3 linked regions of the Canis lupus familiaris genome follow. The protein of the gene in region 1 purifies or fractionates together with the protein of each later gene. This does not show direct contact. Links are inferred from orthologs where the notes say so. Each region holds a gene or a part of one and is shown in the gene's direction. Other genes may lie near its edges.

What was found.
Region 2: the proteins of TCEAL1 (region 1) and USP11 purify together in Homo sapiens (affinity purification with mass spectrometry; 4 studies listed by BioGRID, counting the BioPlex papers as one, with this or other methods). This does not show direct contact. The link is inferred for Canis lupus familiaris from reciprocal best matches to the Homo sapiens genes TCEAL1 and USP11.
Region 3: the proteins of TCEAL1 (region 1) and KDM3A purify together in Homo sapiens (affinity purification with mass spectrometry; 3 studies listed by BioGRID and IntAct, counting the BioPlex papers as one, with this or other methods). This does not show direct contact. The link is inferred for Canis lupus familiaris from reciprocal best matches to the Homo sapiens genes TCEAL1 and KDM3A.

Annotation. Positions count from the first base shown.
Region 1 is NC_049260.1:77,603,118-77,607,055, forward strand, and holds TCEAL1 (transcription elongation factor A protein-like 1), read left to right. Parts: upstream 1-1,788; 5' UTR 1,789-1,840; coding exon 1,841-1,925; intron 1,926-2,159; coding exon 2,160-2,656; 3' UTR 2,657-3,186; downstream 3,187-3,938.
Region 2 is NC_049260.1:41,027,637-41,032,488, forward strand, and holds the start of USP11 (ubiquitin carboxyl-terminal hydrolase 11), read left to right. Parts: upstream 1-1,682; 5' UTR 1,683-1,999; intron 2,000-4,852.
Region 3 is NC_049238.1:39,017,366-39,021,699, reverse strand, and holds part of KDM3A (lysine-specific demethylase 3A), read left to right. Parts: intron 1-2,062; coding exon 2,063-2,218; intron 2,219-3,287; coding exon 3,288-3,398; intron 3,399-4,334. UniProt on the Homo sapiens protein: Histone demethylase that specifically demethylates 'Lys-9' of histone H3, thereby playing a central role in histone code.

The DNA of each region.
Region 1 (3,938 bases):
ATTTAATGAATTAATATACACTTCCTTAACCAGCAACACCAAGAGGTGGCTGGTTAAGTAAGAATTTAGAGTACCAGAAAAATCTCTTTATTATGAATAACTACTGAAGAGCATATATATATACACAGAATACACATATGTATACATATATATGCTATATATGTGTGCATGTGTGTATACACACACACACATAATAATGTATATAGAGGTGCCTGGCTGCCTCAGTCAGTGGAGCATGTGACACTTGACCTTGAGATCATGAGTTCAAGCCTCATATGTGGTGCAGAGTTTACTTAATTTTTTAGAAAAATAGTGTGTATATATATACACACATATATAATAACGCCACACTCTCCACAAAAAAATGCTTCCATTACAGATAAGTTTTTAAATTATTTGTACTTAGATGGACAAATGTATAATTTGACTTACGAAAATCATGTTTTTAATTTACATACTTCACAAGCAAAGTTCTAGAACTGAATACTAATTTAGACTGGAGCCTCTATCTGTGATGCAAGTTTGGGGGGGCTCAAAAAAATCCTTAAAGTTGGGCAGCCCCGGCGGCTCAGCAGTTTAGCTCCGCCTCCAGCCCAGGGCCTGATCCTGGAGTCCCACGTCAGAGTCCTTGCATGGAGCCTACTTCTCCCTCTACCTGTGTCTCTGCCTATCTCATTAATAAACTGGAGGGTATTATGCTGAGTGAAATAAATAAAATCTTTTAAAAAAATCCTTAAAGTCATGGAAAAGTGAAAGCATATCATCCATAAAAGTGACAAGAGATGTAAATCATGTTCATAGAGCCTACATGGACACGATGGAGTTAGGGATGTGGATTAAAGCTGGGAAAGGTGGAATTCATTAGGGGAAAATAGTCAAATTTCAGTGCAGGATCTGGACTACAGGGGAAATATTGGACCTTGGTGACTGACAACGGGAGAATATGGAATAAGGGAGAGAGGTGATATCAGAGTAAGCGGCAGAGAAGAAAAGGCAGTAACTCCCAAGACTGGATGCTGTCTCTGGTAACCAGGAAAAAGCAAATATAAACAAAGAGGTGAGTGACGATGCCTGATGTGTTATGAGCTAGGAAAATACTGGCAAGGCTGCAGCACGGCCGCCGGCGGTCAAAGTGGTAACTGGGGATCTGAGCTCGGCGGTGACGCGGGGCCCTCACGTGACCAGGAGCCTATGTCTGCCCAAGTCCCTCTCTCCTGGTCCTTTTTGCCTGTCCAGACACCGTCTGCCTACTGCCCTTTGGTCGAGGGGAAAAGCAGAAGGAAGTAAGTCCCCTCGGTCTTCTGAAATCGGTATGTGTCGGTGCTGCCCAGTAACCTCTGGGATCGGGATGGCAGAGAGTACCAGGCCTTTCCCTATATCCAGCCCCGCCCCGCCGCGCCCACATTTCGGTGCAGAAAATGGTGGTCTTGGGGTGAGGTGGAGAGATGAGGGGGGGGGGCCTGGGAGACATAGATACCTAGAAACAGTTTCTAAGTAATCTTTGGCTTCCACTTGCCGCTTGGAAAAGAAATGACGAGCACTGCGGGGTGGTGGGGCACGGAGGACGAAGCTTAAGGTGGAGTATGGGGGAGGGGAAACAGAGGGGGCTGGCGTGGGAGCGGCGGCTAGTGTCCAGAAAGGGACGGTATGTCAGTCAGTCCTTCCCTCCTCCCCACTCCCCGCCCCCTACCCTGTCTTGGCGTCTGTCTGCAGGTCTGCAGGTCTGCAGGTCACAGGGGCGCGCCTGGAGAAGAGGGCGCCTAGAAAAAACCGCCAGGAGAGGTCCAGGTCGGGGAAGGGCTGGGCAGTGACCTGGGATGGGATACGTGGGAGGACGCTGATGGGAACCGAGTCGGCAGCACCGCCGGCGCGCCCCGCCCCTGCCACTGCGGGAGAGGCCTGTGGCAAGGCCTGCTGGGAAAATGGTGGGCTTTCGGAAAGGAGGGGGCGAGGGAGGCTGGGGGCTAGGGAGGCTGAGGGCAGGGTGGGACGCAGCGGGGTCTCCAGGGCCGGAGAGCCCCTCGACCAGCGTAGGGTGGGGGAACCTGGGCCTCGACTCGGGAAAAGGCAGGTATGAGAACCCGGGGCTGGGGTTTTGATGCAGCCGCCAAGTGTGTTGACTCGACTCTGCCTTCCTTGTCTTCTATGAATAACTGTAGATAAAGACCCCCTCAACATGGAAAAATCCTGCAAAGAAAATGAAGAACAGCCACAGAGCGCACCCAAGACTGATGAGGAGCGGCCTCCTGTGGAGCACTCTCCTGAAAAGCAGTCTCCGGAGGAACCGTCTTCCGAGGAGCAGTCGTCGGAGGAGGAGTTCTTTCCCGAGGAGCTCCTTCCCGAGCTCCTTCCCGAGATGCTCGTGTCCGAAGAGCGCCCTCCTCAGGAGCGCCTTTCTAGAAGGGACCTTTTTGAGGAGCGCCCTCCCATGGAGCAGCCTCCTTGTGGAGTGGGAAAACATAAGCTAGAAGAAGGAAGCTTTAAAGAGAGGCTGGCTCGCTCTCGCCCGCAATTTAGAGGGGACATACATGGCAGAAATTTAAGCAATGAGGAGATGATAAAGGTAGCAGAGGAGATGGAAGAAATGAAAAGAGTACGGAACAAACTGATGGTCATGCATTGGAAGGCAAGACGGAACCGTCCTTATCCTATTTAATGTATTCGGCTTTAATTCTGTTTTGCCTGATACAAGTATTGCCACCTGAACGTTGCATTTTCTCGTATACCTTTCCCCATCTCATTTTTAACTTTTCGTGTGGCTTTAGTTTAGGTATTTCACTTGTAACTGGCATAAAATTGGGTTTTCCCCACCCACAAGCTGCAAGTCTCCCTTTTTCAATCATGAGTCTCACCCATTTGCATGAAAAGATGTACATTATATATTGTGAAGTGAAAAAAACAATTTTCAAAAAGTATATGTTGCATCTCATTTTTGTAAAAAATGTATATTTATATATTAATATGCAAAGAAAAAAGTATATACTTAAATGGCTTAACAGTGGCTATCTGTGCGGTAATAGGTGTTTTGGTTTGTTTTTTCATTTTTGCTTCATCAGAACTAATTTTTAAAGACAAACATGTTACTTTCATTGCAAAAAATATAATGGGAAAAACATAAAAACCTGTCAATCAGCTTATAAAGACAATGTGGCACTTAATAAATACTTGTCAGAACTTTAAAGAAAAGTAAATCTCATGTTTGTTTTTAAGTAGGCTCCATGCCCAGGATGGAACCCAATGGGAGCTTGAACTCAAGACCCTGAAATCAAGATCTAAGCTAAGATCAAGAGCTACATGCTTAATGGACTGAGCCACCCAGATGCCCTAATTCCATGATTCTTTTAAATATCACGCAGAGAAACAAACTTGGTACTTCTATTTAATAGTCACTATTTTCCCATTTAAAGAGGAATAATGTTTGACTTAAAAGCTGCTGTGGAGGGGATCCCTGGGTGGCTCAGCGGTTTGGCGCCTGCCTTTGGCCCAGGGCGTGATCCTGGAGTCCCGGGATCGAGTCCCATGTCGGGCTCCCGGAGTGGAGCCTGCTTTTCCCTTCTCCTGTGTCTCTGCCTCTCTCTCTCTCTATGTCTATCATAAATAAATGAATAAATCTTAAAAAAAAAAAAAGCTGCTGTGGAGCCTAATAAAGTGAAGATCCTAGAGCTGCCTTGTTTCCCCCACTTGTACACATAGGACTCACAACCCCTATAGATACCTTTCAAATACAGGGGTTAGAACCCAAAGGAGGTTTCACTTAAACTCACAAATAATTGCTGTGAGATTCCAGGTGACTGCCACATTCTATTTCTATCCTGCTATTCTCTTCTCTTGGATACTGGCACATCTGCTGGGCACAGCAGCCCCTTCTTCTGGGTCCTGTTCTTACCATGCCCACTCCCCACAGCCAAGGTGCCTGGGTCCTCCAGTTGCAAAGCTTC
Region 2 (4,852 bases), about 37 Mb from region 1:
GAAAAGGATGGCAGAGCCTAGTGAAGTGGTTCTCAACCAGAGATCTCCACCCCCAGGGAACACTGGCAACGTCTAGAGACACTTTTGGTGATGAGACAATTAGGGGATGATACTGCTATCCAGTGGGTAAAGGGCAGGGATGCAACTAAATATCCTACAATGCTTCCCACAACAGAAATGTCAATAGATCTTGATTGAGAACTCCTGGCCTGGGGCAATGGTTCTAAACTTTTTGGTCATGATCTCTTTAATAGTCTTAAAAATTGAGGACATCTAAAGAGCTTTTGCTTATGTAGCCTCTCAGAATATTCCATCACACACGCAAGACAGCTTGACAATGAAAAAGTATTGTGAAAATAGTTTTGACTTTGTGAATCCTCCTGAGAAGGTCTCCTGAACCAGTAGGAAGCCTAAAACCACAGTTTGGCCTTGTGCTTAAGGTCACAGCTCTGAGTTCGAACCACAGCTCGGTGTTTTTTACTAGCTGGGGCAAAATGAATGTTTCTGGTCCTCACTTTGCCCCTTTGATGTCCGTAGGGGACGGTGATGTTCATCTGTTGCCTAAGGCTACCTTTTACGTGCAATAAAGCATTTAAACAGGGCCAACTATTATTAGTTATCATTGCTATAATGCCAACAAATACACTGGGCCTGAAGCTGACTTGCCTTCAACACGTTTGTCAGGAAAATAAATCTAGTTCAGGCAGGGAAGCAGCCCGTAGGCTTGGGTGGTGACCTTTTTTGTATTAGGTTCTGATGGACAAGAGCAGCGCAGTGAATAGGGCATTCTGGTCAGGCTAACAAAAACTCTCAGGGTAGGGGCCGTGGTTCCCAGCAAAGCATGGGACCGAGAAAGCGCGGAACCTTCGTGTCCCTGAGCACTCCCCAAAATGTCCTCGTCCATAACGGGACCTCAGCCTCCACCTTTCCACACCACCTTTTGCCCTGACTCAACATGGCTTTAAAATCCTACAAGGCACCTTTGTCTTCCTTAGTCCCTAACTGGAGGTTTTGCCCCGCCCATTGGCCGCAGGGATCACCGCCCACAGTCCCACGCCCGCCTAGCCGGTCCACGCGTGCGAGCGTGGGGTCCCTTTCCAAGATGGCAGTAGCCCCCTGGCTGTTTGGGGGGCTCTGTTTCCGTTTCCGGGACCAGAATCCGGAAGTGGCCGTTGAGGGGCCTCTTCCTATCTCCAGCTGCGGTGGCTGTGAGAGGAGGGCGAACGGTGATGGCGGCGGTCGCAGCGAATGTGGCGGCTGCGGCTGAAGACCGAGAGCCGCAGCGCGAAGCGGTGCCGGGCCTGGAGAGCCAGTGGCGCCAAATCGAGAACAGCGAGAGTGGGCGAGAGCGTCCACTGCGTGCGGGCGAAAGCTGGTGAGACAGGGCTGCGAACGGATCCTCGGCTGGGGGAACGTGGAGGCTGAGGTCCGAAGAATTGCTGTGGGGGTGGGGGAGTGGCCTGTGAGACTGAGGACGGGAGGGGCGGGGAAGTGCCTGTGAGTGGATCACCTTGTCTGGGGAAAAAGGCGGGGCCTGTATGGTGGTGCCCCAGGCCTGAGAACTGGAGGTTTGTTTTGGAGAGGCGAGGGGGTGGGGCCGGGAGTGCGTGATGGAACTCGCAACCTGGGAAGGGGCGGTGCCCGAGGCCGAGGGGCGTGGTCTGCGTGGCGTTGAGTAGCATCTGGCGGCGGGGCGGCCTGCGGTTTCTCCGCGCCTGAGAGCTAGGCGGGGATGACGTCAGGCAGAAGAGCGGAATCCGAGCCGTGGGGCTGTGGGCGGAGGGAAGGAGTCGGAGCCTGCGTGGTGGAGGGAGCTGGCGCCTGGGAACGAGGCTTGTGACGGACGCTGAGGGGCGTGTCCTGAGGCCAAGGAAAGACTGCAGAGGGGAGGTAGTGCCTGTGAAGCAGAAAATGGCGCCTGCGAATGAGCAAAGTTTGTGACGCGGCGAGGTTTTTGCCTCTGGCCGAGGCCTTCTTCCCAGGACGGGAGAAAGTGCAGGTGATTGGCACGGGAGGGGCCTTCGCTATTACATTTGTTTTGTGTTTTAGTACTGCTTCGTTTTTGTAATCAGGAGAAATAGTTATTTTAAAAAATGTCAGTGCGTGTCTTGATAAATTGGCTTGTTTTACTGATTTCTTGGCTAACCAGTACTTGAAATACACTGTTTCTGGGTTTATTTTATTTCTCGCCAAGTTGCATCTCATTTTTTAAATTGTGATATACGTAAGACCTAAAAAGATTGCATAAAACGTTTACGTAGCCCAGATTGATGGACATTCTGTAAAAATAAACGGCCTGTGCTTTTCAAAAATTTCAAGGTCGTGAAAGACAAAGGATGAAGAACTGTTCCAGATTGAAGGAATTAATGGGATTTAAAGAATCATAACTAAATGCAATGTGTGATCCTGCATTGGATCCCGGAGCAGAAAAATAAATTATTTAAAAATCAGGATTTTTCTCATAAGATTGATTTCTCTTTTTTTATTGTAAAAGATGTTAATGGGAAAATTGATGAAATTTGACTGAGGCTTGTAGATTAGATATTAGTAGTGATAATTTCTTGCTTTGGATAATTGTGGTTATGAAAGAGAATTTTTTTAAGGGAATACATGCTGAAATTTTTCGGATAAAGAACCATTGTGTAAGCCGCTTACTCGCAAATGGTCGGGAAAAAATAGCGTATGTAAAGATGTATTTAAAGAAACGATGAGGCAAATGGCTAAAATGTTAAATTTGGGAAATGTGGATGAAGGGTATACGGGAATTCTTTATATTATCTTTGCAATTTTTTTCTGAGTCTATTTCAAAGTAAATAAAAGAATAATAAAAATTTGTGAATTCACCATTCAGGTTAAGATTTCAGACCGTTAGCTTAAGAAATCTCCTCCCTGATGGAAATCCCTCTCCCTGCGCCACTATTATTCTGAAGTTTTCAATTTGTTAACATTTTTCCGCTTTTGTATGCATCCCTAAATAGTATTTGTGGAAAAAAAAATAGTATTTGTGGTCTAAGCTTTCATTTCATGGAGGATATATGTGAAATCCTATGCCTAGAGGCGTACCGTGTGCCCTTTGCATCATATCAGGTGGTATACGGTATCCACATTACGTCATTGGTGACGTTAACCTTGAACATTTGGTGAAGATGGTATCTGCCCTGTTTCTCCACTATAAAGGTAGTATTTTTCTCTTTCCGTATGCGGTAATTCTTTTAAAAACATATTATAGCCATTCATTCCTCAAAACGTTTTAACAGCGTCCCATCGTGCAGTGTAAATGCTAAAATTCTTACAACGACTAGCAAGTCTGGTCCCCCTGCTCTGATTACCACTGCCCACCCCCCCAACTCTCTCCATCCAGCCATATTGGACTCCTGTTCCTCAGACACCGCAGGCATGCTCTCACCTGAGGGCTGTTCTGAGTGAGTTTTGCTTATTTTAGAGTTCTCTAATCACAATGTGTTACTCTCCCTGTTACTGGAGAGTTCAGAGACAAATTGAAATTCCCCAAATAGAGAATACGAAATCTTTTTTTTTCTTTTTTAACTGTTGTGCTGTAGCTCTCGGGCAAGGAAAAGCCTCATTCCACCCTGTTGAAAATAAACAATAACTGGATCATCTTTTATAGTTTATTTGGATGTGTTCAAACAGGGTTGGGGGCTTTGGTTCCTGATGCATCATGCCTTTACAGCCTCCTTGTGACAGTACCCTTTAGTTACCCCACCGGTATGGATTTCCTTTTTTGGGTGTTGAAAATGTGTTGGAACTAGATAGAAGTCACGGTTGCACAACATTGTGAATGTACTAAATGCCACCAAACTGTTCACTTGAAAATGGCTAATTTTATGTGAATTTTTAAAATTATGTTCTGTCAAATGAGTGAAAATATCAGTGAGGATGACAAAACATGAGAGACACCTAACTCTGGGAAATGAACAAGGGGTAGTGGAAGGGGAAGTGGGCGGGGGGTTGGGGTGACTGGGTGATGGGCACTGAGGGGGACACTTGGCGGGATGAGCACTGGGTGTTATGCTATATGTTGGCAGATTGAACTCCAATAAAATAAATAAACAAATAGAATTATGTTCTGTCAATAAAAAAAATTACCCCACCAATGTTGGTTCAGTATTAAAGCCAGTTTATCTCTGCTATTGTAGCTGATACCATGAAGCATTTTTCCATAGCTCCATTTTTTAAATGCTTATCTACTTAGGTGAGAGCAAAGCATCTCAAGGTTCTTTAATTTGTTGTTCATTTGATAGAGGTTTGCTGCAGTGGTCAGGAAATTTGTGTTTACAAAGTCACAGACTAATAATCCTCAAATCATATCTAATACCAATATTAATATTTTACACCTTCTTTTCGTCAGCTGGCAGATCTGGGCAAGGGGAAGTAATTTGAACTGATTTAAATCTCTAGGAGAAGCTTATATTTTAAGAGTAAATTAATATCTGTGATAGTATAGCTTCCTTGGCAAATTCCAGTTTTTGAGGATGAACCATCTACAAACATAATTAAATCTGAACTGATTTAAATCTCTAGGAGAAGCTTATATTTTAAGAGTAAATTAGTATCTATGATAGTATAGCTTCCTTGGCAAATTCCAGTTTTTGAGGATGAACCATCTACAAACATAATTAAATCAGGGAGAGGAAAGGGAGTCTCTAGATGGTTTGTGCAGGGTGTGGGTAGTTTTCTAACAGGTAAGCAGCAGGCAAGAGATTCTTTGTTCAGGTAAAAGAAGGAGTGTGGCTGGGTTCAGTGTTGCAGAGTGGATAGTGATGTGTGAAGGGAAAGTGACAGTGTTCCATTAGAGGTGAAGGACTAGCCTTAGAAATGTTGAGCCTTTTCT
Region 3 (4,334 bases), on another chromosome or scaffold:
CCTGATAAATTAAGATTTGAATTACCATTGAAATCTTAAGACTGCCTGATCTCCTTGCCAGATACTTTATGTACCTTGTCTTAAAATTTTACCTAATGATTCAGTGAGAGGTAGGTGTTAGCACTTTCATTTTGTAGCTAGCAAAACCAGTTTCAAAGAACTTAGGTTTAAGCAAGGGTTCTTAACTTGGCATGCAGGCTAATTGGTTTTCTTTGTAATGCTACATATTTTATGTGGTTAAAATCATCCTAAAAAAGCTTCAGCATAGCTGGGATTCAAACCCAGATTTCTCTGGTGCTGTAGTTATATATGCTCATTCCTCTTATACAGCATTGATGGGAAAACTCATCTAAAGCTAGTTTGGGTTTGAGGTTGATGTGATATGGAGCAGAAAGACTATCTAATTTAGGGGAGCTATCATAAGACCTGTATTCTGTGACTGAGGAGGCAGGAAGATGAGCAGTCTCTAAACTCTGTGAAGGACCATTTGATTGGGCGTAGTGATGGATGGAATGCACAGAACCAAGGAGAGCGTACACAGGGCCTTGTCACATAATAGGTACTTACACATTTATATGGGTTCTGTGATAACTGCAAGATTAAAAAGCCTGCCATACCAAGAAGATATGCATATTCTGAGAGAAAGTTACCTGAAAGTTAGGGACACAGATTTTACTGTTGGGGGAGAAGGATGGGTTTTAAATTTCATTGATTTTTTTAAAGATTGGTATTTATAAAGCCATAAAATTAGAGAAGATTTGGGTTTAGGGCTAGTGGTATACCAATTGGGAATGTCCTGCCTTCTAAATGTCTGAGAGTAACTGAAGGTAAGAGGCCAATTCAGAGAGAAATTTATTCATTCAACAAGTATTTCAGTACTGACTGGGGACTGGATACTAGTGAAATACAAAGGTAAATAAAAACATATAGTTTGACCTATTAGAACTTATGTCAATCAGTTAGCCACAAATAAATAATACAAAATGTGGGTACATGGTGAAGGAAAAGTATGGGGCTTTGAGTACATTTAACAAGGAGGAATTCTCTTTGGTGGGGAATGGAGGCTCTTTGGTTAGGAAAGGCTTCTTTGAGGAAAATATTTTTTGAGTTCTGCAGATGAATGGAAGTTAACTTATTTAAAGTTAAAGCTTGGAAAGGAAGTGTGATTGTCTATGAAATTATGAGAGGCTAACCCTAACCCTAACCCTCTTTAGTAAGAAAGGGGTTTTAAATAAAAATAGTGATTTTACACCAAATATTGAGGGAGTTTAGCTCTGGTGTCAGTTTATCAACTATTTGTTTCTATATTTAGCAAAGTAGACTTTGACTCCAAACTCCCAGTTTATTCAACTCAAAAGGATGTTGAGGATGTGCTGTCTTCTAGGCCTTGTAAGTCTGAATCCTATGCATACCAAAGGGATTCAAAACAAGGGATTATGGTGATGGGGTGGTCTTCTTAAGCCCACAGTGCCATTTAGAATTACAATGACACGCAGTAAGTAATTCTTTTAGGTTTCAAATTTCTTTCTTTTGATTCTCAAAGCTCTGATGTCTAACATATGTAAAAACTTTCTACTTGGGGGTTCTTTGGCTTTCTACAAGTTACTTTTGAGGCAGAGACTGGCTTCCAAAAGCCTTGACTGCCGCTTCTCAAAGTGATTTGGCAGCCAAAGCTTGATGGTTAGATTAACATGTCTGATTGGTTTATTGTGGACTGGGAAGGGAAGTAAGAGTGGGAAAGAGGGACAAAATATTCAGATAAAAGATTGAAGTAGAGGGGCGCCTAGGTGGCTCAGTAGGTTGAGTCTGCCTTTTGCTAGGGTCATGATTTCTGTGATCTCGGGGTCCTGGGATCGAGCCTCGCATAGGGCTCCCTGCTCAGTGGGGAGTCTGCTTCTCTCCCTGGCCTCCCCGCCACCTTATAGTGTCTCCCTCTCAAATAAATATCTCTTAAATAAAATCTTTAAAAAAAGATTCAAGTAGAATAATGGTATAATTCAACTTTGGTATTTTTCATGTTTATTTTTGTTAATTGAATCTGCTTTTTTTCACTTCTGTTTAGGTGTGTGTGGAGTTTGATGGGGAATCTTGGAGAAAGAGAAGATGGATAGAAGTCTATAGCCTTCTAAGGAGAGCATTTTTAGTAGAGCATAACTTGGTTTTGGCTGAACGAAAGTCTCCTGAAATTTCTGAACGAGTTGTTCAGTGGCCTGCAATAGTGAGTACAACTTGAGGTTATGAGACCAGGGGATTTAATCCATTATGAGTGAAACAAGGGAAATGTATATGTAATGCCTGTATTTGGCCTCTGGAGAATAGTACAGATAAGGAATCTCCTGTTAGCCCTGCTAGGAACCCTGTAACTCTGTGCCTTTGACTTTTCAGCCCTCAGTTTCTTCACTTGAAAAATGGGGTTGGAGGTAATGTGGGGGAATGTCTAGGTCAGAGGTGAGAAACAATATATATGTATATGTATATTTGGATTGATTTTCATAACATTTTAAGAAAGTTTGAGTTAGTCATCTACTTTTAAAATATGGAAAGTATACCTTAAAATCTGGCTGTTGCCTAGCTCCTGTAGGGGTTGCCAGTCTTGGCCTCATGATCTCTAAGGTTCTCTCTGACTCATGATATTCTTTGGCTCTGAAAGTACTGGCAGTCAGTGCATGATTATGCCATTTCCACATCATAAATCTGATGTAGTAGATAAGAGTGATCATAGTGTCTGGAGAAGACAATTCAGGTTTTGTGAGACATAGGGCTTAACAGTAGAAGGGCAAGATTTAGACAGAAAGGCTAGGAAGGTGGTTGAAAGGCTGACCAGATTGTGAAGGGCCTAGCATACTGTGCTAGCAAAGTTAAGATTTTGCCCGTGGGTGAGAAGAGCTGCTGCAGGTTTTTGAGTGGTATAGATTTTGGTTAAAGTTATATTTTTCTCTTTGTAGCCCTCTCTCCCCCAGCTATTAAGAATTTGCCAAAAACATGGCCCTATCTCCCCCAGAAAAAATGTATACACACAGTTTTTTGTATAAATTTTGGAGAAGTCATGTACCTCTGGACCCAGACTTATGTGTTAATGACTCCCAAATGTGTATCTGGTTTAAATGGTTTTGGATAAAAATTGTGTGATCGCGTTGTGGCTGCGTAAGTAGTTGTTATTGAGATGCCAGCAGTAAATAAAATTAGTGGTTTTATCTCTTTCTGCATATGTGGAAAATTGCTAGTCACCATTTTCAGAATTATTCTGACAGCAGTTGTGATGTCAGAACCCTTTTGTTTTGTTTTAGGTGTATAAGTCTCTGTTGGACAAAGCTGGTTTGGGATCCATAACCTCTATTCGCTTTCTGGGAGATCAACAAAGAGTATTTCTTTCTAAAGACCTTCTGAAGCCTATACAGGTAAAGCATAAAAAAATATTAACCTCTAAAGATAGAAATATAAATTTTTTAATATGAGAACTAAAAGTATTGACGTTTATTGCTCTAATTCTAATAAATACCTAACACAGAAATAGACCCATCTCATTAGCAGTTAGTTGTTAGACATTACCCTTCGGTGTTAGCCATTGGGGTTGGTATTGTCTATTTGGGATTGGAAGTTCAGAAGTAGTACAGTTGATGATCTGTATTTATATATGGAAACACCTAGATGATATGAAAATAATTTTTGAAAGATTGACTATCATTCACATGTATGGCAGTCATTATTTATGTATTGAATAATGTGGGAAGTTGCCTACTTGTTAGAATATATTTGTAACCCCCAAATCAGTTCTTAGGCACTTTCATGGTCATTCATAGACATTGGCAGAGTGGTAAAAAATTTGAGTTACCTGACATATGTTCCCAGCTGAAGTCAAATAAGGTGACATTCTGCTGGCTTGTTTCCTCTCTCATTCTGTAAACAAGTGTGGTTTATGAGGTCTATTTAGTGTTGAATTTTTGTGCCTTTTTTTTTTTTTTTTTTTTTTTTTTTTTGCGGTGGTGGTGGTGGTGGTGGTGGTGGTTTCACTGTACCAAGTATAGTGCTGAAGTGCTCTCTAGTGTTCCTAAGTGTAAGGTCAGGATGTGTCTTAGGGAGGAAATATATATGGTAAATAAGTTTCATTCAGCCATGAGTTACAATGCTGTTGGTTGTGATTTCCAGGTTAATAATGCAGCAGTATATATTAAATAATGTGTCTTCCACAGAAACACACTTAACACATGGTTGTGTATAGGTTGGTTAATGAAACTGTGACCAAGAGGCTCAAAGGAACCTAACCCTATTTTTCCACTAGGGGCAGTGGTTCACTATTCACTAGTTCATTGTTTGTGGTGACTTAGTGAAACATA